4 linked regions of the Callithrix jacchus genome follow. The protein of the gene in region 1 interacts with the protein of each later gene in a biochemical or structural test. Links are inferred from orthologs where the notes say so. Each region holds a gene or a part of one and is shown in the gene's direction. Other genes may lie near its edges. The genes, in order: NCK2, ERBB3, LIMS1 and PDGFRB.

What was found.
Region 2: the proteins of NCK2 (region 1) and ERBB3 form a complex in vitro, tested with the Homo sapiens proteins (2 studies listed by BioGRID and IntAct, with this or other methods). The link is inferred for Callithrix jacchus from reciprocal best matches to the Homo sapiens genes NCK2 and ERBB3.
Region 3: the proteins of NCK2 (region 1) and LIMS1 form a complex in vitro, tested with the Homo sapiens proteins (4 studies listed by BioGRID and IntAct, with this or other methods). The link is inferred for Callithrix jacchus from reciprocal best matches to the Homo sapiens genes NCK2 and LIMS1.
Region 4: the proteins of NCK2 (region 1) and PDGFRB form a complex in vitro, tested with the Homo sapiens proteins (2 studies listed by BioGRID). The link is inferred for Callithrix jacchus from reciprocal best matches to the Homo sapiens genes NCK2 and PDGFRB.

What each region holds. Positions count from the first base shown.
Region 1 is NC_133515.1:15,809,013-15,816,897, forward strand, and holds the start of NCK2 (cytoplasmic protein NCK2), read left to right. Parts: upstream 1-3,506; 5' UTR 3,507-3,717; exon of another isoform or gene 3,718-3,773; coding exon of another isoform or gene 3,774-4,634; intron 4,635-7,885. Other genes in the region: uncharacterized protein LOC118147454, read right to left, coding at 3,774-4,634. UniProt on the Homo sapiens protein: Adapter protein which associates with tyrosine-phosphorylated growth factor receptors or their cellular substrates. Maintains low levels of EIF2S1 phosphorylation by promoting its dephosphorylation by PP1.
Region 2 is NC_133510.1:63,567,254-63,570,690, reverse strand, and holds the end of ERBB3 (receptor tyrosine-protein kinase erbB-3), read left to right. Parts: intron 1-685; coding exon 686-986; intron 987-1,157; coding exon 1,158-1,681; 3' UTR 1,682-2,937; downstream 2,938-3,437. UniProt on the Homo sapiens protein: Tyrosine-protein kinase that plays an essential role as cell surface receptor for neuregulins.
Region 3 is NC_133515.1:20,415,727-20,423,112, reverse strand, and holds part of LIMS1 (LIM and senescent cell antigen-like-containing domain protein 1), read left to right. Parts: intron 1-1,809; coding exon 1,810-1,960; intron 1,961-2,527; coding exon 2,528-2,620; intron 2,621-3,916; coding exon 3,917-3,965; intron 3,966-6,294; coding exon 6,295-6,370; intron 6,371-6,560; coding exon 6,561-6,708; 3' UTR 6,709-6,752; intron 6,753-7,386. UniProt on the Homo sapiens protein: Within the IPP (ILK-PINCH-PARVIN) complex, binds to F-actin, promoting F-actin bundling, a process required to generate force for actin cytoskeleton reorganization and subsequent dynamic cell adhesion events such as cell spreading and migration.
Region 4 is NC_133503.1:48,864,829-48,872,773, reverse strand, and holds the start of PDGFRB (platelet-derived growth factor receptor beta), read left to right. Parts: upstream 1-3,193; 5' UTR 3,194-3,632; intron 3,633-7,945. Other genes in the region: meiotic nuclear division protein 1 homolog, read left to right, coding at 655-1,173. UniProt on the Homo sapiens protein: Tyrosine-protein kinase that acts as a cell-surface receptor for homodimeric PDGFB and PDGFD and for heterodimers formed by PDGFA and PDGFB, and plays an essential role in the regulation of embryonic development, cell proliferation, survival, differentiation, chemotaxis and migration.

The sequences.
Region 1 (7,885 bases):
CCTTTGCTTTGTGTTTCCCATGAGTCCAAAGAGGGGTTAGAGATGGCCTTGAATGGAGCTCTGAAACAGAAGGAGCGGGACAGGGAATTCCCAGCCGCCTTCACACCACAGACGGCTGAAACTAGTGTGATTCAGTGTGGCACTGTGGGCAGAGCTGAGTGACTGAAGCAAACAGCTTATTTACAGAGGTAAAAAGGAGACTGTATGATAGAGCTAAGTTTGAGGCCTTTGGAAGAGAGATCATAAGGTGTAATGCTGATGCTATTTTAGGCAAAAGTGTACTGTGCGTCCTTCCACTCTCTGTTTTTTATGCTTTCAATACTTTGTGATTGAAGACAGCAAAACAGATGTGGACACATTAATGGAGGAGAATGCAGGAAAACCTATACATTTTCAGATAAAACATAAGCTTCAAAGAAATGTCTCCCCCATACTGAGCCTTGCAGTGGGTCGGATATTGGCCCCAAAAGATACGCTCACCCGGAAGCTGAGGATGTGACCTTATTTGGAAAAAAGATATTTGCAGATGTTGTAAGATAAGAATGTTAAGATGACATCATGCTGGATTAGGGTGAGCCCTAAATTCAATGATAACTTGTCTTTATGAAAAGAGAGAAGGGAGAGGACACAGGGAACCAGGTTGGGTGGTTCTGCGAAGACAGAGAGGAGAGGTGGGAGTGATAGGGTCACAAGCCAAGGAACACCTGCAGCCATCAGAAGCTGGAAGAGGCAGGGAAGGGAGTGTCCTCTACAGCCTTCAGAGAGAGGCTGGTGTCTTCATTTCAGACTCTAGAACTTTGAGAAAATAGCCTCTGTTTTATCACCTAGTTTGCGGTCATTTGTTAAGGGAGTCCCCAGGAAACTAAAGCAGGCCTCTCAGGGCGAAATCCCCCAGCCTCCCTGGGGAAAAATGCTCAGTCTTCTGTCATCAGATGACTTTTGAGGAGACCGTGGTGAGCAATGGAGAGTCATGGAAAGTTCTTGAGCACAACCAGGGAAAAATGGAAGCAATTTGTAGGAAGGTTAGGATGACATTGATGTCCAGTGTAATCTGAGGGATAGAAGAAGTAATGGGAGATCAGTTGGAAGGCAGTAGGTGTGGGGAAATGAACAAGAGTTTTGGAGTCAGGTATGTGCAGTTCTGACCCCAGTTCTTTGATCTACTATTGAAGTGATTTCATCTGTAAAATAGGGATAATACTATAGTGTGTGGATTAGAGATGACATCCGTCAAGAACTCAATCAACGTACATTACGAGTCTTGCTAGGAATGATGTATAAGTTAGGATGCCAGTGATGGAAATGGAAAGGAAGATGTAGTAAAAAAGATGTTTAAGAATCACCAGTACTCTACCATGGGGATAGACTGCAAGGGGTCTTGGTATCATTCAGTCCTCTCCTGGCTTTTCTTGGGGACAACTTGGAGACAGGGAAGGAAAAGCCAAGATGACACTGAGGTTTCTCCCAGGAGCTGAGGTGCCTGAAACTGTGAGTGGAGGAGCTGGTCAGGGAAGGAGAGGAGTTTTCATTCTGAACATGGTGACCCAGAAGAGATGCTGGGCCATGTGTAGGAAGTGAAGATTCGCTGGGGAGCTCTGCAGATTCACTGGGGAGCCCTCTATGGCTACAGGTCTGGGAGTTAATCAATGAAAGTTTAGACAGGGTGCAAACAAAAAATAGTCAACTCTCTCTCTCTTAAATAAAAAGGTGTATATCAGAATAAAAATAAAGGGCCACTATCTGCCTTGGGGATGTAACTATTAGAGGGTGGGAAGACAACAAACTCTCTAGGGGAGGCAGAGACTGGCAGGTTAGAAAGGTAAGAGAGTCAGAACTGGCTGTGTTTGATGAATGAAAAGATGATGGTGTTTCAGGAAATAGCAGAAATGCCACATACTTTAGAAAACTGCATAGATATTGACAAAAAGCCACTGGATTTAGATTAAGAATGACATCGGTAACTTTCTAAAAAGTCAGAGAAGGAAAAGTCATTCAAGAACCATGATTCATTGAAAGTTTACAACGCAAACAAGCTAAAAACTAGGTCAATATTGTTATGCTTATTTTGAGAAAACTAATTTAAAATTGGGCAGGCTAGAATTCTTCTTTCCTTATTGTAAACTAGGAATTATTAACACAAGGCTTTTCCAAAAGGATGAACTGAAGTAGCTTCTTTCACAAGGTCAAAACAAAGGAAAAAAAAAAAAAAACGCTGTCCCAATTCCCTGAGCTTATATCTGATTCCTGCTCAGTGTACTGTGCCTCCTTCCACTTATTGAGCTATTGAGGGCTACCTACTGCCAGGGTACTTCACATAGGAGATAGGTAAATATTATCTCCTGGCCGGGAGCAGTGGCTCGCACCTGTAATTTCAGCATTTTGGGAGGCTGAGGCAGGCAGATCACAAGGTTAAGAGATCGAGACCATCCTGGCCAACATGGTGAAACCCCATCTCTACTAAAAATACAAAAATTCGCTGGGCATGGGATCGGGCACCTGTAGTCCCAGCTACTCCGGAGGCTGAGGCAGAATCACTTAACTGGGCAGGCAGAGGTTACAGTGAGCCGAGATCATGCCACTGCACTCCAGCCTGGCAACGGAGCAAGACTGTCTCAAAAAAACAAAAACAAAAACAAAAAACTCCCCATTTGACAGATTTTAGAAAGGATAAGGCCCACCTGTGTGAAATTACACAGTTCAGGAAGTCAATAGTCACTCACCTGTCTGACTGCAAAGCTACACTGCCTCTAGTTACCTATCTTAGGGTATTTCCTTTCTGGAAGAGGCAGGAGATGAGTGAGTCAAATAATACTGCTTTATAATCTTGGGTAAGTTATTATTGCCTTAATAGTAAGCAGAGATTAGGAGCCTAAGAAAGAATCTTATTAACATGGATGCAGGCTATCCTGCCAGAAAATCAGAATTATTTGAATATTAGAATTTCCTTTGGGAAATCACATGGGGAGGAGCAAAGACATCCGGATGAAAGTGCCTGTGAAAGGGAAGCTTGTGTTTTTCCCCTTGCTCTTGGGTTTTAATCTTCCAAGTTTGTTTACAGGTTAGCCACAACTCGAGGCTGTGTGGGCTGAACGGTCCCACTATTAGCCACCCACCTTCTAGGGGCCCATTCGGGCAGCTCCTCTTCGGGTTTTGCCCCACGGGTGTGCAACCAGGATTCCACTGGCTGGGGCTGGCCTGGATGCCTGCGAGGCAACAGAGGTCGAGTTTCCTCTCCTTCTTTTAGGGAGTGCCTCGGACGGGATGATGGACTAAAAACGTGTCTGGTTGGGAAAGTAAATAGATGCAAGGCAAATAAATAAAAATGCCCACAAGCAATTACAGGGAGGAAGTGACATTTTTATACAAGTCACTTTTCTGATGGACAACAGGCCTGCTTCGCTGACTGCCGTGGGAGTGCTTCCGGGACGGGGGCGGCTGCCCAGCAACTAGAGCTTCGTGATAAGAACATGAAACAAACAAAAAAGAGCACGCAAAGCCCACCCGGCAGTCATCCGAGGCTGGAAGTTACCACTTGGGTTTTCACTCTCCTCCCCACCCACCGCCCGCGCGCAATTTCGGGCGTAGGGACCCTTTCCTGCACCGGACGCCCGGCCCGCGCTGCGCCTGCAGAGCGGAGCGTCCCCTAGCCCTGCTCTATCCCGGAGCGCTTACCGAGACCCAAGACGCGGAGCCTGGTGGCGCCGGGGGGCGCCCCAGGTGGGTCTCGGGTCCCCGCCCCGCGCGCCCGGGCCTGGGCCGGCCCCTGGGCGGCGTCACGGCGCGGCCGGGGAGGAGCACGGGAGGAGGAGGAAGAGCGCGGAGGAGGCGGGCGCTGAGCGCCGGGGGAGGGTCGCCGCCGCCGCTGCCGCCGCCGCCGCCGCCGCCGGGATCGTCAGGCCAGAGCCGCGCGGCCGAGCGGGCGGCCGGCGGAGGGGAGGGCTCGGCGGCTGGGAGGCTCGCGGCGCCCGGGCCGGCGGGGTCCGCCCGGGCCGGCAGCGTCCGCCCGGCGGCGGGAGGAGGGAGCGGCGCAGACAAAGAGCGGCGCTTGGGCGGGCGCAGCGCGGCCGCCGCCCCGGGACCCGCGCCGCTGCCCTCCGGCTCCGCGGGCGGCCCACGGCGAGGTAAGCGCGGCACGGCGGGAGCGGGGCGGGGGCCGCAAACTTGGGGCCGTTGGGCGGAGTTGGGAGCTTAGCGGGGCTCTCGGGCCGGGGCGCGCCCGGGCAGGGGTTGGGAGAGCGGGTCCACTCCGCGCCCCACCGGTGCTCTCGGCCCCGCCGCGGCCTGGGCACCCCCGACCGCGAGCTGCCCCGCTCCTCCTGGCCCGGCACCTTCCTGCCTGCCTTCCCGTCCCCACCCCCCGCCATCGGGGGCCGGCGCAGGGGCGGGGACGCCCGCCAAGGGCGCAGGCGGGGATCAGGGCAAGGGGCCCGGCGGCGGGGCCCGGGGACTCGAGACCCCCGGGTGTGCAGGCAGCTCTTGGCCTGCTGGCCGGCGGCTGGCACGGAGCTTGGGGCTAGCGTAGGACCGTGCAGTGGCCAGGGTCGCCAGGGCGCGCGTGCTAGGGAAGAAGAGCCGGGGATCTCAGGGCCCCGGCGCAGGGACGCGGGAGGCCGAGATCGGCCGGGAGAACTTAACTGTGTTTATTACAACTATTTATGATCGCGCACAAAGCTGCTGTCACATCGCATAAAGGAGGTCCTCGCGTCGGCGAAGGGAGCTTTTGTGCCCTGCTTCAGGCTGTGCGCCCTGCCCCAGATTTACAGGACTCTTACAGCCACCTGAACCAAAGTTTCTCACAATCGCTCGGCCTTTCGGTTTCTTTCAGGGCGATTTAACCACCGAGTGGTTCTGGAAACATTTGATATGTGAGTTTTAAGGCACCCTAACTCCCTTACAAACACAGTTAGCTTGGCATTGTGTGGAGGGGTTTAATTTGCCACACACTTTAACTTGTAGACAGTAAGGATCTCTGTGAAGGTCTGCGCTGGATGCTAGGGGTCATTGGCTGGTGGACCCCAGGCACCTGACTTAAACTAATATTGTAACAGCTTCAGGGACAAAGCCGAGCGTGCATGGAGTCGGCCTTGGCCACTTCAGACAATTCAGGTTGGCAGATTTGGCTTTATTTTACCAACAGGTTTAAGGTTGCTTCTGCCAAGTTTGCGTCTGCATAATGGGATAAGCAGGCCCTAGTGTGGGCAGGAGGGGCTTAAAATATCGCACTGGCCAGCTCCCTCCCTAGACCCAGAAAGGAACTAGCCAGAGAAGCCGGTGGGCGTGGCTTGCTCGGGACCCACAGGTAGAGGAGTCCCTTCCTGGCCCAGGCCCCAGACCCAGTCCCTGCTTCTCAGAAAGGATTTTGTGTAGGAATGAAAGTGATTCAGGTTGTGTTTCATGCTTCTGTTTTGGATGTAGTTATCGAATCTGAAAAGTGACTGAAAATGAAATTAACCTGGGCTGCTTTAACTTAACAGTACAGAACTGTGCTTGTGAACACTCCCTCAATTCACTTTCCAAGCGTTCATAAACGGGTGAATTAGTAACAGGATTCAAGCCAGTGTGAGGTTTCTGTAAAGAGAACGGCAGTCATGGGACACATGGAGAAGAAATGCATTTCATCTGGAGATTGGGCTAGACATGTAGGTTTTTTGATGTTTGAAACAGGGATTTCCTGCGAAGCAAGTGTTAACCCTGCTTGTGAAGAAGTGACCACAAGGGAAAATCCTACCTCAGTATTTTCTCCCCTGGAGGTTGGTTAGATGTAGTTTTGACTGGAGACGGTGGCAGAATCTTAGTGCTCTTTTGGCGGCTACTTGATGCTGAAATTAAGAACTTTGGCCATGGGAATCTGTGGAGGTGCCTGGCCCACTTCCTGTCCTGGAGGCCTTGCATGGATTCTGAGCTTCTTTCCTGCTTCATAAACATTCAACGGGATTGATCATGAAACACTGGATGAAATTGGGTCATAAATTACCATCAGGGAAAGTTGGCTGCTGCATAAACCCCTCTGTCCGCTTGTGAAGAAACTGACCCTATTAACGATGGGACTTGCTGAAGGCCCTTTTCAGGTAGCTGTGCTCAGTTTTCAGGCTTTGTGTTTTGCTTAGGACACACTACATACTTAAATCTTCTTCATCTCTCTCTGTTTGATCCTGCTGTACTTACCCAGGCACTGTCATTTACATTTGGGGTTATTTAGCTTTTCCAAAACACAGCAGATCTTATGTACACAGTACCATATTTGAGAAATGCACTATCATCCATATTAAATACACTGGAAGTCCTCCTTGACTGTGCACAGACTGGATAACCTTTAAAAACACCCTAAGACTCCCTGAATGGCACAGAATGCGCTGGATTCCTTTACTTGATCACTTGCACTCGCTTAATTTGCCCTGGCTAGAGCAGGCTGTGTTGCTCTATGGGACACCCATTTTTCTGACTGCTCAGACTGGCTTGCTGTGTGCACTGGGGGAGACGGGGCTTGTGGAAATTATTTTCTGATATTAAAAATGAAGCTTAATGACTGAAGAGCTCAAAATTGTTTGCTGGAACTGCAGGGGAGGATGATGAGCGATGTTTGGGAAAACAAGTAAGCTAACTTTTTTCACAAATGAATTGGAAACTCCCCACAACTCACTCCAGAGGCTTAGGAAATTAGTTTTCCCATTCTGAGGGATTGCGAGTGGCGCTTCCAAATGCTTTCTCTTTCCTAAAATGGGTGATGGAAATACTTCATGGCACGTTTCAAAGGGCCTAAGCTAAAACATGATTTCATGTGTGGTGTTCCATCTGTGAGTTAAAGCAACTCAGAAGAAGGTCATGACAGCCTTTTAACTGGTTGTAAAAGTATGCAGTGAAAGCAAAACTAGTTTAAATTTAGACTCTTTTTTTCTTTTCCTGCGTTTTCCTTTGAGCATATCCCAAAGTATGTTTATTTCTGAAGGTAAATGAACGTTAGCAAGTAATACCTCTGCCAAGTGATACACAGCTGCACACACGTGTGCTGGCACATACATTCCTACCTCAACAATCTCAGTCCTTGAAACTGTGGAAATGAAAGTGATTTTGATTGAGGTAGCAGTGTCACAGTGATGTCACACAGCATCACTCTCCCTGCCCAGCCTCTGTGTTCCACCTTGGCTCAGCCCCCTCAGTGTCCTGAGTTCTTATTCTTCCCATGGGTCATCTCTTCTTTCTTTTCTTCTCTACATCTTATCAACTCCCAGCTACAGGGATGGCTTCATCTTTGAACCGCCACAGCACATTCTTTGTGTACCTGATTTGTCGTCTATGACCTTCTTTCCTACAGTTTTTAAAAATTTTTTAATATTTTTAAGGTGGGGTCTCACTCTGTCACCCAGGCTGGAGTGCAGTGGCACAATCACAGCTCTCTGCCTCCTTGAAGTTCTCAGTTCAAGCAGTCATCCCACCTGGGCCTCCAAGTAGCTGGGACTACATGTGTGTACCACCATGCCCAGTGAATTTTTAATTTTTATTTTGTAGAGACAGGGTCTCTACAGAAGGCTGGTCTCAAACTCCTGGGCTCAAGTGATCTTCCTGCCTTGACATCCAAAATACTGGGATTATAGGCTTGAGCCACTATGTCCTGCCATATGGGTTTTTTTTTTTTTTTTTGCATTCATCTTTTCTTTAATAGATTCTGAACCCCTTGAGGGTAGACTGGTCTCGCAGCTTATACGCAATGGGTGTGCTACGAATACTTATTGAATATGTACGTGAATACTGAATTCCCAGCCTGTCAGTGTTGGGGCTCTAGCCTCCCACTGAGATGCGAGTGTTAAGAGACCTCTGACATTCTTGTAAATCTGCTCAGAACCTCTGTTGTGGAAGGCTTTGACCTCAGGATGACCAGGCAATGGGA
Region 2 (3,437 bases), on another chromosome or scaffold:
CCTATAATCCTAGCACTTTGGGAGGCTGAGGCAGACAGATCACAAAGTCAGAAGTTCGAGACCAGCCTGGCCAACATGGTGAAACTTCGTTTTTACTAAAAACACAAAAATTAACTGGGCATGGTGGTGGGTGCCTGTAATCCCAGCTACTCTGGAGGCCGAGGCAGGAGAATTGCTTGAACCTGGGAGGCTGCAGTGCACTGAGTTTGTGCCATTGTACTCCAGCCTGGGCAACAAGAGCAAGACTCCATCCCCCGCCTCCCCAAAAAAAAGGTAGTGAACAACCCAATCTCCTTCTTTTTTTTTTTTTTTTTTTTTTTTGAGATGGAGTTTCACTCTTGTTACCCAGGCTGGAGTGCAATGGCGCGATCTCGGCTCACCGCAACCTCCGCCTCCTGGGTTCAGGCAATTCTGCTTCAGCCTCCTGAGTAGCTGGGATTACAGGCACGTGCCACCATGCCCAGCTAATTTTTTGTGTTTTTAGTAGAGACGGGGTTTCATCATGTTGACCAGGATGGTCTCGATCTCTTGACCTCATGATCCACCCGCCTCGGCCTCCCAAAGTGCTGGGATTACAGGCTTGAGCCACCGCGCCCAGCCTCCAATCTCCTTCTAAACAAATGTCACTTCTTTCTTGATCTGTGTAAATCTCCTTGCATTATTTTTGGTTTATTTTCTTTCTTAGGAGTCTGCAGTTTCTCAGGGCAGTGAATGGTGCCCCCGTCCAGTCTCTCTGCACCCAATGCCACGGGGACGCCTGGTATCAGAGTCATCAGAGGGCCATGTAACAGGCTCTGAGGTTGAGCTCCAGGAGAAAGTGTCAATGTGTAGGAGCCGGAGCAGGAGCCGGAGCCCACGGCCACGTGGAGACAGTGCCTACCATTCCCAGCGCCACAGTCTGCTTACTCCTGTCACCCCTCTCTCCCCACCAGGATTAGAGGAAGAGGATGTCAATGGTTATGTCATGCCAGATACACACCTCAAAGGTGCCTGCTCTTCCTAGGGCTTTCCTCAGTTCTTCCTCGAATTCTTTCCCCAGGCTCCTCTAAATTATTGTCTTCTCTGATGATATGCCTCTCTATCCTATTCATTTTTTCAAACTTTCCCCTACCCCCATGAGGTTCTTCGCATACCTAGCCTTTCTTCTCTACCCTCAGGTACTCCCTCCTCCCGGGAAGGCACCCTTTCTTCAGTGGGTCTCAGTTCTGTCCTGGGTACTGAAGAAGAAGATGAAGATGAGGAGTATGAATACATGAACCGGAGAAGGCACAGCCCACCTCGTCCCCCTAGGCCAAGTTCCCTTGAGGAGTTGGGTTATGAGTACATGGATGTGGGGTCAGACCTCAGTGCCTCTCTGGGCAGCACACAGAGTTGCCCACTCCACCCTGTACCAATCATGCCCACTGCTGGCACAACTCCAGATGAAGATTATGAATATATGAATCGGCAACGAGGTGGAGGTGGTCCTGGGGGTGATTATGCAGCCATGGGGGCCTGCCCAGCATCTGAGCAAGGGTATGAAGAGATGAGAGCTTTTCAGGGGCCTGGACATCAGGCCCCTCACGTCCATTATGCCCGCCTAAAAACTCTACGTAGCTTAGAGGCTACAGACTCTGCCTTTGATAACCCTGATTACTGGCATAGCAGGCTTTTCCCCAAGGCTAATGCGCAGAGAACATAACCCCTGCTCCCTGTGGCACTCAGGGAGCATTTAATGGCAGCTAGTGCCTTTAGAGGGTACTCTCTTCTCCCTGTTCCCTCTCTCTCCCAGATCTCAGCCCCATTTCCCCAGTCCCAGACAATTCCATTCAACCTTTGGAGGCTTTTAAACATTTGACACAAAATTCTTATGGTATATAGCCAGCTGTGCACTTTCTTCTCTTTCCCAACCCCAGGAAAGGAGGTTTTCCTTATTTTGTGTGCTTTCTCAATCCCATTCCTCAGCTTCCTCACAGGTATTTCTGGAGATATGAAGGATTACTCTCCATATCCCTTCCTCTCAGGCTCTGACTACTTGGAACTAGGCTCCTAGATGTGCCTTTGTTTCCCATCAGACTGTCAGGAAGAGGAAAGGGAGGAAACCTAGCAGAGAAAAGTATAATTTTGGTTTATGACTCTTAACCCCCTAGAAAGACAGAAGGTTAAAATCTGTGGAGATAAAGGTTAGGAGTAGATATTGATTACTTTTATAATTCAGCACTTAATTATGAGCCAGGCATCATACTAAACTTTACCTACATTATCTCACTTAGTCCTTACAACAATTCTGTGACATACATATTAACTCATTTTACAAAAAAGGGAAGCCGGGCGTGGTGGCTCAATCCCGGCACTTTGGGAGGCTGAGAATGGGAGGATCACTTGAGCCCAGGATTAGAGATAAGCCTAGGGAACATAGCAAGACACCATCTCTAATGGGGAAGGGGGGGGAAACTGAGCCTAAAAGAGATTAATTAAGCAGTAGGTCCAGAATGCAAAATCCTCCCAATTCCTGTGCATGTGCTCTTAACTGTAAGTGCCAAGGAAAACTGATTTAAGTCACAGCCCTTGTAAGGGGCAACGTTTCTTGTCTGCACTGAATCAAGTCTAACCCCAACAGCCACATCCTCCTCATATAGGAAGACATCTCATCTCAGGAAGTGGTGGTGGGGGTAGTCAGAAGGAAAAATAACTGGACATCTTTGTGTAAACCATAACCCACGTGCTGTGAATGATCTTTACTCCTTATCTGAGGGCAGATTCACAAGGATTCCCCCAAGATTCACTTTTAGGAGCCATTCTCATCCCAGCAGTAAGAAGCTTCCAGGTAGGATAGAAAGAAGACCCAGTTTCACGCCTCTGTTCCTTTGGATGGGGAACTGAGGGAAAATATCTGTTGTATCACTGAAATGTTTTGTTTTTATACATGTCTGAATAAAAATGCCAAAGTTTTTTTCAGCTTCCTGTCTGTCAAATGAAAACATTTCATATGTTAGATAGATCTCCTCAGCAGAGGACAGTCACCTTTCTGTCTTCTGACAATGCTACTCCGTCCCATGCAGCTTTCTCTAGTCCTATTATTACTTGTATTTCTTTAGAACAAGCATAGCTTATAGTCCTTTGGGGTTTTAGTAGGAATCTACAAAGCAAAAACAATTGAGAATAACAAAAACAAATAACCCACGTGCTTGGGGACTTATAAAAAGCACTATATACGTGTCCGGTCTCCTTCAGAGGCCAAATACTGAAACCTCTACGTGTTTCTGAATTCATTCTTAGAAAAGTCACCAAATCTTTTTATTTTGTTTTTTCACAGTAAGCGCTCTCAACAAACATCTGTCTTTCTGAACACTTCCCTTAAGTGCTCCATCCAGCCTGTTATTGGAACAATGTCATGTTACTTCTTTAAGGAGTCCAGCCTCTAGATTGGGAGGCCTTTAAATGGATGATCCCTCCGG
Region 3 (7,386 bases), about 4.6 Mb from region 1:
ATCTCACTGTATCGCCCAAGCTATAGTGCAGTGGGCGATCATCACTTGCTGCAACTTCAGCCTCCTGGGCTCAAGCAATCCTTCCACCTCAGCCTCCAGAGTAGCTAGGCAACAGGTACATGCCACCCTTCTCGACTAATTTTTTAAAATTTTTTGTAGAGATGGAGCCTTGCTATGTTGCCCAGGCTGGTCTCAAACTCCTGAGCTCAAGCAGTTCACCCATCTCAGCCTCCCTAAGTGCTGGGATTACAGGCATGAGCCACTGCACCTGGCCAGAACCACAGTACTCTTACCATATAAATTAGCAAAAATTTTATAATATCAACTAGCAGTCCATATTAAAATACCCCCAATATCCCCAGAACTATTTGTTATCACTGTTTTTCCAATAGAAGATCCAAAAATAACCTCAAAAAAAGGTCTTATCTCTGTACATGCATTACTTTTACAGTTGTAATAATTAGGTATTATCTTAAAATACAGTGTTATATTTACTTTGGCTTGGTTTACATCTAAAAGAAATTATTTAATTTTTTGTCTTCAAAAAGTTATGATAAATTGTTGGGCTATGAATTTTCTAAATTCATAGTAAAAATTTAGTGGATAAAGATTCTTTACTGTAGTTAATGTGAACTTACATGCTAAATTATATTAGGGATAGAGAAGAAACAGTAGGCTAAATATTAAGAAAACTGTTTGGTGGTATAAGTTCAGCCATTTCATCTTTTGTGATTGAATTATCAGTTTGTGCTGTATCTTGTTTTCTTGCCTATCCTTCCTCTTGGGAGATTCTCCTCTGTCCACTTTTCCTATAGAATTACTTCAAAGGGGTGAAATTCAAACAAGTCCATTTGACTAATTGGAACCATCTCTGACCAAATGTTTATTGATGCAGGAGAGTGAAAATAATATTTAATTTGAGTATTTGGAGAAGGAAAATTATGGGCATGTGTTTATGAAAATAAACCTAAACCGATTAACCTATAGCTCTTTTCAACAGCTTGTGACAATTTAAATAATTGTTAGTAAATGGAACTAGTCTATCAACTTCTCAGTTTGCTTGGAAAGGTAGTGTCTTAGTCTCTTTTACGTGCCTATGACAGAATACCACAAACTGGGCAATTTGTAACAAACGGAAATTTATTTGGCTCATGGTTCTGGAGGCTAGGAAGTCCGAGATTAAGGGGCTGGCATCTAGTGAGGACCTTCTTGCTGCATCATAACATGGCAGAGGGCATCACACAGTGGGTGGGAGGAGAGGGAAAGGGAGGAAGAGAAGGGAGAAAGCTGAAGTTGTCCTTTTATAAGGAACCCACCCCCTCAGTAACAGCATTAATCCATCCATGAGGGTAGAGTCTTCATGATCTAATCACCCCTTAGAGTCCCTACCTCCTGACACCTGCATTGGGGATCATGCACTTTGGGGGATGCATTCACACTACAGCAGGTAGTATTACTGAATCTACCCTCAGCACTGTGATTATTCCCCATAGCTTTTAAAGGAAGACAAATGGACATAAATGTAATGTGATTATATAAGAAAGAAATGATGAATATGACTGGTGTGGTGGTATATATCTAACCTAGTATTGCATCTTATCCTTTTAAGATACAGATGTTTTGGTAAGAATCTGAAACCTATTCGGACCTATTAATTCAGGTTACTCTGATCACCTCTAAAGGGAGAAAAAGAAATTTGCAGGGATTGTCATAGTAATCTCTTTAAAAACCTTTTAAAAGTTGTCCTGGCCCTATCGGTTGGCTATTTTTCTCTCTTGGTATTAAGCTGGGTGTCTTTCTCACGAATAGGAAGGAGCTGACTGCTGATGCACGGGAACTCAAAGGGGAGCTGTACTGCCTGCCATGCCATGATAAAATGGGGGTCCCCATCTGCGGTGCTTGCCGACGGCCCATTGAAGGGCGCGTAGTGAACGCCATGGGCAAGCAGTGGCATGTGGAGGTAAGTTGAGAGTAACCAATCGTTTCAAACTTCTGTGATTCAGCAGTAATCAATCCTTTCAAATCTCTATGATTTAGGGGTAACCAGTACTTTCAAATCTCCATGATTCAGGTGTCCTGGCAAGATTTAGGAGATTCTAAAGGTTAAACATGGACATTTTAAAGACAACTGACTTGCTGACTGTTCAGAATATAGAATATATACTGCTTTTGTGAATTTCTCAGTAATGATACAGGATGTAGACTTTTGCACCTAAAGCCTTCCTGAAGCAGGAAGTGCCATGGTCTGTATCCAGCAGCAGCTCCTCCTTTATAGGTGCTACTGGGGTACTCATCTATTTGCTCTTTTTGGGCTATTGTAATAGGCTATGTCTTAAAGTAACCTGTCAAAGATAGACACGTGAATTAAAACTGCAAAAGTATTATATTAGGGAGCTACCTATGGCCAAATCAAATGACTATCTCAAACGTTCGTTCATCTTCTCTGAAGATAGGTTAACTTTGTGGTTTATTTTATTAGATATAAAATATGGCAAATCAAAAATGACCTATAGCAATTTTTTTTCAGCATTTTGTTTGTGCCAAGTGTGAGAAACCGTTCCTTGGACATCGCCATTATGAGAGGAAAGGCCTGGCATATTGTGAAACCCACTATAACCAGGTATTGACCTTAGTCACTGGATGCTAGATAGACTTTATGAACTTTGCTTATCAGTAGTTTAGCTACAAGGAAATCTCTTGGAAGATATACATTGTTCAGGAGAGATGTTTTTAACTATTTAGGAAATAATTTCAGACTCAGAAGCTAACTATAAAATAAAAAATAAAAAGAATACCTGTATGCTTTTCATTCAAGTCCACTGTTTACTTTATCATTTTCTATGCTCAGTCTTGCTGTGTAAAACACCTACTTACATAAATATTATACACAAATATGATGGCTGTTTCTAAAGCATTTGCCAATAAATTCATCATACTCCTTTACCCCTAAATACTTCAATATGTATTTCCCAAGAATATGAGACTCTCTAACATAATTGTAGTTATCAGTATTGATATCATACTTTAACCCATTTATTCTAGTTTTGTCACTTGAGTCAATAATGTCCTCACAGCAATTTTTTCTACTCCTAGAAAAAACAGTCTAGGGTTGTGATGTTTTTTTAGCCTTCTTAAATCTGGAACATTTCCAGAGCCTTTTTAAGTTTTTGATGGTATTGACATTTTGGAAGGATGCAGAGGGCCCCTACCCCCTTTTAATAGACTACTTTCCACTTGGGTTCTCTGTGCTTTCCACTGCTGCTTCTCTGTGGTTAGATGAGGTTATACACAGCAGGTTGCAGCCTCACACAGTAGCAGTGCATTCTCTCAGAGCCTTGTCCCTGGAGCCCTTCATAATCACCTCTCTTGCGCTGGTGATCTCCCAGGCACAGTGCTAGCTGATAATATCACTATGAATTACAATTTCCTTCACTCCTTTGTAAGAAGGAAGCAATCTGTGGGCCATCATTTTATGACCATGGAAATGTCTTGTTTCTCATCAACCCACCACACCTTTATGATTCTTGCTTCTGCACCAGCTGCAAATGACAGTTCTCTAGCCCCACACTCTCCACCCATAGTCTGGTCCTCAGCGCTCTGCCTGAGCAAGAACCTACCTCCTCTGCCATCTATAAGTTTATTCATTTATCTGTTTCCTATCCATATATACTCACAGATTTCTATATTTCACATTACTTATTTGGGTGCTCAAATTGTCTTCTGGAAAGATTTTTTTTTAATTGATGAAAGTGAATTGTTTTCACTGTAAAAAGTAAAAATTTGTCAAAGAACTTTTACTAATTTTCTCCAGTAGTGATAAATTCTTGATTTAGATAACCAGCTATTTGTTTTTAAATGTTCCGTATTGTAAAACTTAATTCTAACACATCTTGAACCACCTTTTTTTTATTTTCAGCTATTTGGTGATGTTTGCTTTCACTGCAATCGTGTTATAGAAGGTGATGGTAAGTATCTGTGTGAGTTTTAGATTGGTACCACTTTGACACAGAAACACTTGGGCCATGTGGAAATTCAGGTTGGTGATTGCTGTTGTTTGGAATGTGATCGTTATCAGTTGCTTTTTCTCTTTCTTTGGTGTATTTCCCAAGTAATCTGTAGCAGTAAGATGATAATATCAAAGAGTTGGATTTGTTACTCATTTATGATACTACTTTCAGCCACTGCCACAGTGTTGTATGCCAGCAATCATGGGAACTGTCCCTAGTGGACCATAGACCTGTTTCTGTCCAGTTCCAGGAAGCTCCATAACAACATTTATTAGGAACAGTTTAATCTGCTATGTAGTTAGGAAGAGGCACTTTAACTTGCACATGCTAAAACCTGGCAGTTATCAGCAAGCACATCTAGGACTTACTACCCCTTGTACTGTGGTAATTAGGTTGGACTGATTGACTGGAACAGAAAGGAAGCAGCTGTGTTTGCTAACAGTTGCTAACACAATTCTGCCAGAGACTTCCTGGCAAAGTTTTGAACAATCCTGTTTTCAGCATGATTCATGGCTCCCTGCAGACATCACCTAATTCAGGAAATACTTTTGAAACACTGTTCATGTGCAGTTTGTGAAAAGATTAGTCCAGGAAAACAATCTTCAGTGCCATTGAAAATAAAACTTACCTCCCTCCTCTGTGAAACAGACACCAGGTAAAAGGAGCTACAAGGCAAACTTTCTTGTTATCATCAGCTCTGGAAAAAAGACTCCTACAGACAAATACGTTAATGCCTGGATTTTTCAAAATTATTTACCTAGTTCATATTTCCTTGTTGGGCCAACAGCAGTAGGTACAGAAACACCAAGCTCACCTAACCAATATCATGCATGGACAGTCACCACATGTGCCTGGGCCAAGGGGGCATGGTTGCTGGTGTAAGATATGGCACACATCATTTACACCTTCATAGGATACTTAAGAACAGGGAAAGATTAATGTCAGCCCTCCATATCCAAGGGCTGGATCCAAACATTTGGTGATACAACCAACTATGGATCAAAAATATTTAGAGAAAAATAACAGTATAAAAATAGTACAGTATAATGACTATATATCATTTGCATTGTACTAGGCATTATAATCTAGAAATGATCTAAAGTATGTGAGACAGTGTACATAGATTATGTGCATTTTATATCAGGGACTTGAGCATCTGAGATTTTGGTATCTGCACAGCATCCTAGAAACAGTATCCTGCACATACTGAGGAACAACTGTACACATAAAGGTTGAGGGCCAGGTATGGTGGCTTACGTCGGTAATCCCAGCACTTTGGGAGGCCAAGGCCGGAAAATTGCTTGAGACCAGGAGTTCAAGACCACCCTAGGCAACATAGACTTCCATCTCTACAAAATAAAAATAAAAAATTAGCCAGACATGGTGGCACACACCTGTGGTCCCAGCTGCACAGGAGAATGAGGTGAGAAGATTGCTTAAACCCAGGAGTTCTAACTGTGATCACATCACTGCAATACAGCCTGAACAACAGAGCAAGACCCTGTCTCAAAAACAAAGAAAAAAAAAAGAACCTCTCAAGAAAGAGGTTCTTGGCTGGGCATGGTGGTTCATACCTGTAATCTCAGTATTTTGTGATACTGAAGCAGGCAGATTGCTTGAGCCCAGGAGTTCAACACCGGCCTGGAAAACATGGCAAAACCCTGTCTCTACAAAAAATAAAAAACTAGCCAGGTGTAGGCTGGGCACAGTGGTTCATGCCTATAATCCCCGCACTTTGGGAGGCTGATGCAGGTGGATCATGAGGTCAAGAGATCGAGACTATCCTGACCAACATGGTGAAATCCCATCTCTACTAAAAATACTAAAATTAGCTGGGCATGGTGGTGCATGCCTGTAATCCCAGCTACTCAGGAGGCTAAGGCAGGAAAATTGCTTTATCCCAGAGGGCAGAGGTTGCAGTGAGCCAAGATCATGCTACTGCACTCCAGCCTGGCGACAGAGTGAGACTCCATCTCAAAGAAAAAAAAAATTAACCAGGTGTGGTGGTATGCACCTGTAGTTCTAGCTACTCAGGAGGCTGAGATGGGAGGATCACTTGAGCCCAGGAGGTTGGGTCTACAGTGAGCCAAGATTGCACCACCACACTTCAGCCTGGGCAACAGATCAAGACCCTGTCTCATTAAAAAAAAAAAAAAAGGGTCTCCCCGAGGTGCCACAGACACAGTCATTGCAGTCATAGTTCTGTTTTAGAGTTGAAATTCTAAGCTGCCCTGCTCCCCATACTGATGTATTTCCATGTGACCAGATCTCTTTCCTCTTTGTCTAGTGGTCTCTGCTCTTAATAAGGCCTGGTGCGTGAACTGCTTTGCCTGTTCTACCTGCAACACTAAATTAACACTCAAGTAAGTCTATGGTTTTGTCCAATGTGAATCCTAAGACTGAAAACTTTGGGGTGACACTTAAAAAAATCCTAGAAAAAGAGAATTATTTGATTTCTTATTTCCTCTTTCTGTTCACGCCTTCTGAAAGTAAAGGGTCTTCCTTTAATTTTTCCCTGTTCTTTCTTCTATTCCTTCTTTGTCCTGCTTAAAGGGATAAATTTGTTGAAATTGACCTAAAGCCAGTCTGCAAACACTGTTATGAGAAAATGCCAGAAGAATTTAAGAGGCGACTTGCCAAACGCGAGAGAGAAGCAAAGGATAAGGACAAGCAGAAAAAGAAAAAGCCAGTCTGTTTGTAAACTTTTCTATCCCTCTGTCATCATTTTCACTACTTTCTCCTTTGGTTAGTCCTTTGGAATATGTTTTTGTTCTGTTTCTGCCTTTTGCTTTCTTCCTCCCCCCTACCCCCACAACTTTTGGGCATGTATTTGTAGTCATCAGAGATTGAAATACAAGCATTTGTCCTCTTTAGAGTTGGTCCTTTTGCATAATTACTAAAATTACAAATATTAAATGAATATGCTCCATACTTAATACAGGTTTGTGGTCATATATTTCACTTACTCTGTAGACTCACTCACCTCATTTTTTAAACACCATGTTATACATTTCTATTTTGTTCATGGATTTAAAGGGAAGAATTCTAATCTCTTAATAGACCCTGGAAAAAGTTTTCAAGGATTTTTGTCTAATAACTGTAGCTTTTAAAATCCTGGTTTTTTTGTTTCTTTGCCAAAATCATTTAATTGTTAAATTATAAGTGTTGTTTTATATTTTTTAAAATATGATATTTTTTAAAACTTATGTTCTAAGTTATGTTTTATATTATTTCAGCATAGCCAAGCACAGTGGCTCATGCCTATAGTCCCAGCACTTTGGGAGGCTAGGGTGGAAAGATTGCTTGAGCCCAAGATTCTGAGACCAGCCTGGACAACATGGCCAAACCCCATCTGACAAAAAAAAAAAAAAAAATCAAC
Region 4 (7,945 bases), on another chromosome or scaffold:
ACTAAGTCCTTCTTACAAACCTAAGAGGCTTATGAATCAGTCTTTGACTTATCTCCATTTTCCAGAGGAGGAAACCAAGGCCCAGGAGTTTCAGTGACTTGCCTAAGCTCATGTAGCTTGAAAATGGAGCAGCTGGGATTCGAACCCAACTCCATCTCTAGCTCTCCAACCTCCCCTCTCGATCATGACACTTTTGCCTCCATTGTCCTGCCCTTGGCGAGTGCCCTGGGGTGCTCCCTGTGGCTCTGCACCTCCCGCCCATATCTCAGTTGAGAGGAGGAGGAACAGTCCTGGTGCCCACCAAGGGTTAATGGTGGTAGGGGCTAAGTAATTCCAGATGGGCCTTAGGACGGCTGGGCTGGCCGGAAACTGGAGGCCGCCAGCTTCCCAGGGGAGCCACCGCCAACTGCCCCTCCCCTCTGTGCTGCATGTCTGGCCCCCAGCTATACCCCCGCCCTAGGGCACACCATCCTCCTCTCTCTTGCTAGAGTCCAGCTCTAAGGTAAATTGCAGGCAGAACATCCCAAGAGCCTGTTGCCCAGCAAGTCCATCCCTGCTATACACAGTTAGGGAAACCGAGACTCAGGTAGGACAGGGGACCTATTCAAGGCCTCCCAATAAGTCTGTGGCTAGGTCTTCTGACCCCCAGACTAGCTTCTTTTGGGACTAGGGGTTGGTGTGTCTTCTATGTCAGTAAAAGAAGTCCTTCAAAGCTTAGTTGATGATAGTATGGTTGACTGTGAGAGGATCGGAACTTCTAATTATTATTGGGCTTTTCCAAGTAAAGCTCTTCATGCAAAGAAGCGTAAGTTGGAGACTCTGAAATCTCAGTTGTCTGAGGGAAGCCAAAAGCATGCAAGCCTACAGAAAAGCATTGAAAAAGCTAAAATTGGCCGATATGAAACGGAAGAGCGAACCATGCTAGCAAAAGAACTTTCTTCACTTCGAGACCAAAGGGAACAGCTAAAGGCAGAAGTAGAAAAATACAAAGATTGTGACCCACAAGTCGTGGAAGAAATACGCCAAGCAAATAAAGTAGCCAAAGAAGCTGCTAACAGGTGGACTGATAACATATTTGCAATAAAATCTTGGGCCAAAAGAAAATTTGGGTTTGAAGAAAATAAAATTGATAAAACTTTTGGAATTCCAGAAGACTTTGACTACATAGACTAAAATATTTCATGGCGGTGAAGGATGTAAATTTTAAACTATTATGTAAATAAGTGTACTGAATTGTCATTTGCCTGTAACTATATGTAGACTTTTGTTAATGTTAAATAAAGTGCAAAATGCAAAAAAAAAAAAAAAAAAAAAAATAGGTCCTCTGTGGCTGTCTTGGCCACAGAGGTTCAGCCAAGGCTTCAGAGGTGAATGGCCCAGGCAGATGCTAGGAGGAGAGTTGTACATTTCTGACGGAGTCTTTGGGCACAAGAAATCCCTGTGCTTGTGCCCTGTGGGATCTTTTCACATTCCCTATGACCCTGCTGCCACAAAGACCTGGCCAGGCCCCCTCTCTTGGGTACTCTTATCGTCCCCACCCCGTGGCGGGGAGCCAGTCTGAAAACACTTCTTTTTCCGTGTGGTCCAGGCCAGATTCTCTGCTGGGCAATCCCTATTGGGACTAGACCAAGAAATGATTGCAAGATAGATGATTGTGGTTGGCATGGAATTCCAGCTCAGGCAAATGCCCTGCTCTGTGAACATGGGCCTGGGGGAATCTGAGGAGGAAGGACTTAGCAGTGCAGAGGGGAGAGTGGAAGGAGGGCAGAGGCGCCTCTACCTGTGTCACCTGGGACACCTTTCTTCACCCTCTGGGATTCAGTTCTCCATATGCACAGTAGTGGGAGCAGGGATGGCGAGCCCACAGTATATGCCCTTCTGAAATAATGCCCTTTGCCATCCGCGGGCTAGGAGTCTGTAAATGAAGATGTCCTTGATCTGAGAAGCCCAAGGTGGAAGAAGAGACCCAGCCCGGGGCACTGGAGGAGTCTTGGCAAACCCTGGTGGGAAAGGAGAGCCAGAGAATGGAAATGGAACAAAACAGATACTTGAAATTATCTTGTTGAGTGACTGAAGGAAAGAGCCACAGGGGGAACCTAGGAAGAAAGCAGGGCTGGGGGCTCATCTACACTGGAATCGGGGAGTCTTGGGTGGGGGTCAGATGAATTGTGTCCCTTCTATCATGTGACTCATGAGATCTAGTTCTGCCCCAGCTCTGCCATTGCTGTGTGCGCTTGGAAAGCTTATTTTGCTCCTCTGGGACTCAGTGTCCCCTTCTATAAAATGGGGTAAATAATCCTCTCCTTGCACCCAAGGGGCTTTGAGATTCAAAAAGGAATATGTCTGTCAATATCCGGATATATCCAATCTGTGCTGGGTGACCTTGACCAAATCACATTCTCTCTCTGTGCCAATTCACCCCTGGGCCTTGGTTTTTCCTTCTGAAAAATGACTGATCAGCTTGGAGGATCTTTCCATCTCTTCCATGCCACCTCTTCTCAGCAGTGCTCTCTGATTCTCTCAGGCCTCCATTAGGAGTCCCTCTAAATGCACTCTCAGCTTTCTGTCTGCCCACCGGGTACCTGCTTGCCCACTGAATGTCTCACTCACTAGCCTGGGTGCTTGAGGTCAGGACCATGTCTTACTACTGTGTCCTGGCACTCAGTACAGTATTGGAAGGTAATAAGTGCTCAGTATGCTTGCTCAATGAATGAATGTTGACTGAATCAACCACAGAGATGATCAGAATCTCCTTTATAGATGGGGAAACCGAGGCACTGAGAAATGACTCTCCCCTGGGTGTCATGAAAAGGGGAGGCCACCACCCAAGATGGGCATTGGGCAAGTGGGGCCCAGGCCACTCTTTGATAAAAGTGACTCAGCTACTGGTGGCTGGCGTGGGCTGTGGAATTTCTAAGCATCCCCTCACATCCTGAGAGAACGGGCGACGAGAGGGAGGCAAGCAGAGGGAAAAGAAGAAAAACAAGAAACTTGGGGGAAAAGAAAGAGAGGGGAAAAAAACTGAAATTGAAAACAGACGCACGCGTTCACCCTCCCTGCCCCACTGCCCCCCTTCTCCCCAGCTGGGCCAATCAGAAGCCACCCTGCAGCCTTTCCCCCAAAGTGGCGAGGGGGAGGGGGCGGGCGGGAAAGCCCACGGTGGTGTGAGTTTCTGGGGCTGCCAGCAACCAGCAGTGACCGCCCGCCCTATCTGGGACCCAGGATCGCTCTGTGAGCAACTTGGAGCCAGAGAGGAGATCAACGAGGAGGAGGAGAGAGCCAGCCCCTCAGCCCAGCTGCCCAGCAGCAGCCTGTGCCCGCCCTGCCCAACACAGACAGCCAGACTCAGGGCGGCCCCTCTGGCAGCTCTGCTCCTCCTGGAGGATGCTTGGGGAGTGAGGCGAAGCTGGGCTGCTCCTCACCCCTGCAGCAGCCCTCTCCCTCCGTCCCTTCCTTCTCCTGAGCCTTCAGGAGCCTGCAACGGTCCTGCCTGTCCTTCTACCCAGCTATTACACACTCTGGAACCAGCAGTCTTTCTGATAACGGGGAGACAGCAGTAAGGAGGACTTCCTGGAGGGGGTGACTGTCCAGAGCCTGGAACTGTGCCCACACCAGAAGCCATCGGCAGCAAGGTAAGTGCTGGGAGGGGTGGGAACCCTAGCCCCATGCCCTGTCCCTTTGCCCTAGCCTGTGTCTCTTTGAGTAGGTAAAACAAATGGAATATATTTTGAAGAAAACCGGATGAGAGGAGACTGGGAGACTGTGGGTGATGTCAGGGCTGGAGGAGCCAGTTCTCTCCTTTCCCCTGCTCTGGGGTGAGGGGCCTCCACCTCATCATCCCTGCTGCTCCTGCCTTCATAAAACAATCCCCAGGGGTTTCTGAGTGCTGAGTGGGGGCCTCCAAATCACAGCACAGTCAATGGGGGGGTTGGCAGGAGAGGGGAATTGGGAGAAGATAGGCAGGTACACCGAAAGCAGGGGACGAGGACCGCAGGACCCACTCCGCAGTTCCAGTTCTCCAGTTCGTGGCCCAAGCTGTGTTTCTAAGAGTCAGTCTGGCTTTAGGCCAGTCAGCCGCCAGGCAACCTTTGGAGATTTAAATGGATTTGCAAATTTTCTAGATTCCTAAGATATCCTTCTAAACCCCCAGCAGCTAGAAAAGTTTGAGGGCTAGGAAAGTTTGAGGGCGATGGGGGGCCATGGCAACCCCCTAGTGGTCATGCTGCTGGGGCTGGGGTCTGGGGTCTGGGACCTGGCCATCAGATCTGGGGACTCCTCTGTGAAGTAGGGGTCAGCCACTGGCCATTTCCTTTGGCCCCAGGCAGCTGCTCAGACCTCCTCTTTGTCTCCCTCCTTCTGGACTCTACCCCTTCTCCATGCCATTCTAAAGCATAAATCTGATCACACCACCTCCTGCCCAGGATCCGCCTGTGGCTCCCCAGTGCCTGGAGAAAATCCCAGCTCCAAACAGAGGCTGCCACTGATTGATACTTACTGCACGCCGCGACTGCGCTGAGTGCTTTATGAGGCTGATATCATGTCATGCTCACCAGCAACCCCAGAGGCAGCGACTGTTTTTACCTCCACTTTATACATGAGGAAACTGAGGCTCACGCGGCACATAACTAGCCACACATCTAGAAAGTGGTACAGCCTGGAGAGGTTGGAAACTGCTTGTGCCCCATTACTCCAAACTTGGGCCTTTTGTTCCCTCCAGTCAGATCCCAGCATTCCCAGAAGGAATGTGTACTATCCTGCTTGTGGGCATTTGCCCCCCTCTTTTCTCCCTTCCTGGAATGCCCTTCCTCAACACTTTTCTTTCAGGGGTATTCTGTACTCCACCTCTTCCAGGCAGCCTTCCCAGGTTCTTCCTATCTTCCAAGTGCTAGCCATGCATTTTGTGCTGAAGCCCTGCCACTTGGCCCTCTCCTGTGAGTGATCTGTTTGTGTTTTGTTTGTTCATCGGAGATTGTTCAGGCCCCAGCAGTCAGACCTGAGGCTGCACTTTCTGCTGGGGAAAGGTTTTACCATCCTGTGCTCTGCCCCCAGTGCCCAGCCCTGGGTAGGCAGTGGGGCTGAGACGTCCTGGTGAAAGGGAAGAGGAGCTCACTGAAGACCTGCTCCCAAGTGTGAGACTAGACCAGCCCCCCAGCCTTCGCTTCAGGTGCCCCTGCAGGACATCGTGTGGCTCCTCCAGGTGGCATTTCTCCATTGCAAGCAGGGAGGAGTATCTCTGCTTCCCTCTGTGACCCCCTGAGAGCACAGAGGCCTCTAGTGACAAGTTCTGAAGTCATGCAGTCCACCACCGAGACTGTATGTTCCTGAATGCTGTGAATTCAGGGTCCAAGCAGGAGACCCTGAATTCACAGCATTCAGGACCATACAGTCACAGTGGTCCCTGTCCCTGAACACCTAGCCCATGCAGGCATAGAGCCTGGCACCTCCCACACCTTGGAATCCTCATGGCAAGTTTTTGAAATCAGTGTTATGATCTCCTTGTAGATGAGGAAGCTGAGGTCTGGAGAGGTCAGGTGACTCTGCCAGGGCCACACAGTGGGTTGAGGTGGTGTTTAGGCTGAAGTCATTCTGGCCCTAAAGGGGCCTTGTGCTCCCTGGGAAGCTCCCAGTCAGAGGGAAGAATCTCCATCCTCCTGCAGAGCCTGCTCCTGGCTTCAGCACCTTCCCCAGCAAAAGTGCAGCCTCAGGTCTGACTGATCCAAGGTCCGCCCAGGCCCTGGCTTGGTCCTGAGAGAGGAAGGAAACCATCTGGTTAGCACCCTTCTCCCAGACAGCAGTTATCAGCAGCCCCCCTCCTCTGTGGGAAGAAGAGCTGGGACTTGTAGTTGCCCACAGATGTGGGGCGGGCAGCAGAAAGCACCGTGGACCAAGAGTCAGGAGACCCAGTGCTTGCCCTGGCTCGACTCAAATCCACAGTGTGACCGACCTCACACCCCTTACATCCCATCTCTGAGCTGCTTCCACAGCTGGGAGGCAGTGAGCACTGTGGGTAAACAGCACTAGGCTTGGGGGATCAGATGACTATACATTGACACTGAGTCAGTTTCTGGCTGTGTGACCCTGGGCCAGCGCCTTGCCTCTCTGGGCCTCAATCTCCTTCTCTGTGAGCAGCAAGGCCACATGTGGGCTCCATGAGACAACAGCATTGGCAAGGCGCTGAGCACAGTTCCTGTACTTCACAGCTGGACCTCTGGCCACTGGCTGAGAGAGCCACTGCTCTCCCGGCCTCCTGCATTGGACCACTTGACCATGATATTAGTCTGCAGCCTGCAAAAGGCTCTGCCCATGGAAGGCACAGGGACATCATGCATGTCCTAAAGATCTGTGTCCATCCTCCAGGCACAGGCCACAGTCTGACTCTGAGACCAGCTGCCTCCTATGCTAAAGGAGGGTGGTCTGGGCATGTGCTGAGAACAGGCTGCTGTTGAGTGCACTGAAGAGGGAGAAAGTGATGAAAGGGTCTTCTGAAATGCCTACCCATTTCTTGCAATTGATTCAGAACCCAGTGGGCAGTGTGTTCTTGGAATGGGAATATTTTTTCAGTGCCTTCGTCTTATGACCAGAGTGTTAGGAGGGAAGGGAAGGGGTGTTGGGCCCCTCCCCAGGGTCAGGGCTTATAGCACCTCAGCTAGGAAGCAGTGTGAGCAGGATGATATAATAGGAACCAACCTGTCCTTAGCAGTTTCTGTGTCTACTTCAATTCTGCTTTACATCCGATACCTTGAAGTTATTGCTGTATTCCTCAGCGCCTAGAACATGCTTAACATTCAGGATGTTCTTAATAAATACTTACTAGATAAATTTAAGCATTACAGCAACCTCAAAATTAGATATATAAACTCTCCCCATTTTTTTTTTTTTTTGAGATGGAATCTTGCTCTGTCTCCCAGGCTGGAGTGCAATGGTGTGATCTCGGCTCACTGCAACCTCTGCCTCCCGGGTTCAAGCGATTCTCTTGCCTCAGCCTCCTGAGTAGCTGGGATTACAGGTGACCCCCACCATGCCTGGCTAATTTTTGTATTTTTAGTAGAGACGGGGTTTCACCATGTTGGCCAGGCTGGTCTCAAACTCCTGACCTCAAGTGACCCACCTGCCTCAGCCTCTCAAAGTGCTGGGATTACAGGCATGAGCCACTGTGCCTGGCTAAACTCTCCCTATTTTACAGCTGAGAAAGTACATAGTCAGTTGCCTAAGGTCCCACAGCTCAGAAGTGGCAGAGCCAGGATTTGCTCTTGGGTGTTTCTGACTCCAGAGCCCCTTGATGAGAGGCTGGATGGGGCCTGGGATGCCCCTGGGGATCCAGTGTAAACCCTGAGAATGTGCCTCAGCTGTGGGGGCCCTCAGCATTTCGCAAGTAGTCATCAGACCCTAAAACCCTATGGACTGTCCACAAGTCGATCCCTCTTGGGGCCTCAGTTTTCCCATCAGTCAAACAAGAAGGCTGACCCAGATGACGGCAAAGCTTTCTTCCAGCCCTAAAACAATTTCAGGATTCCAAGCCACACCAGCCCAGATTGGCAGCTGCACAAGCCTTGCTGTGTACTCAGGGATCATGCATATTTAACTTCACAATGAAAGAGTTTTTTTTCTTACCCTGTCTCTACACATTACAGAAAGAGGTCAGGATCGATGACCACTAATGGAAAACTTTAACCTGCAATAACAAGGAGGAACCGCCTAACAATTAGTGTGTCCCCTTAACATGCTCAGTTTCTCGAGGAGCTCAGAGGGTTCCCACAGAGCCCACATGCCCATTTTCCTGGGATGCTGAGCAAGGAGGGCCAGGGAGGTGGACCCACAAGGGGCTGTGTGTGGATGTTGTAACCCTTTAGAGCCCTTCCTGTGCTGAGTTTTTGAACCTCATATGCTCTAATTTCAAGAGGAAGCAAGGCTTTGGCCCAGATGAGTGATGGGATCCAGAGGTGAG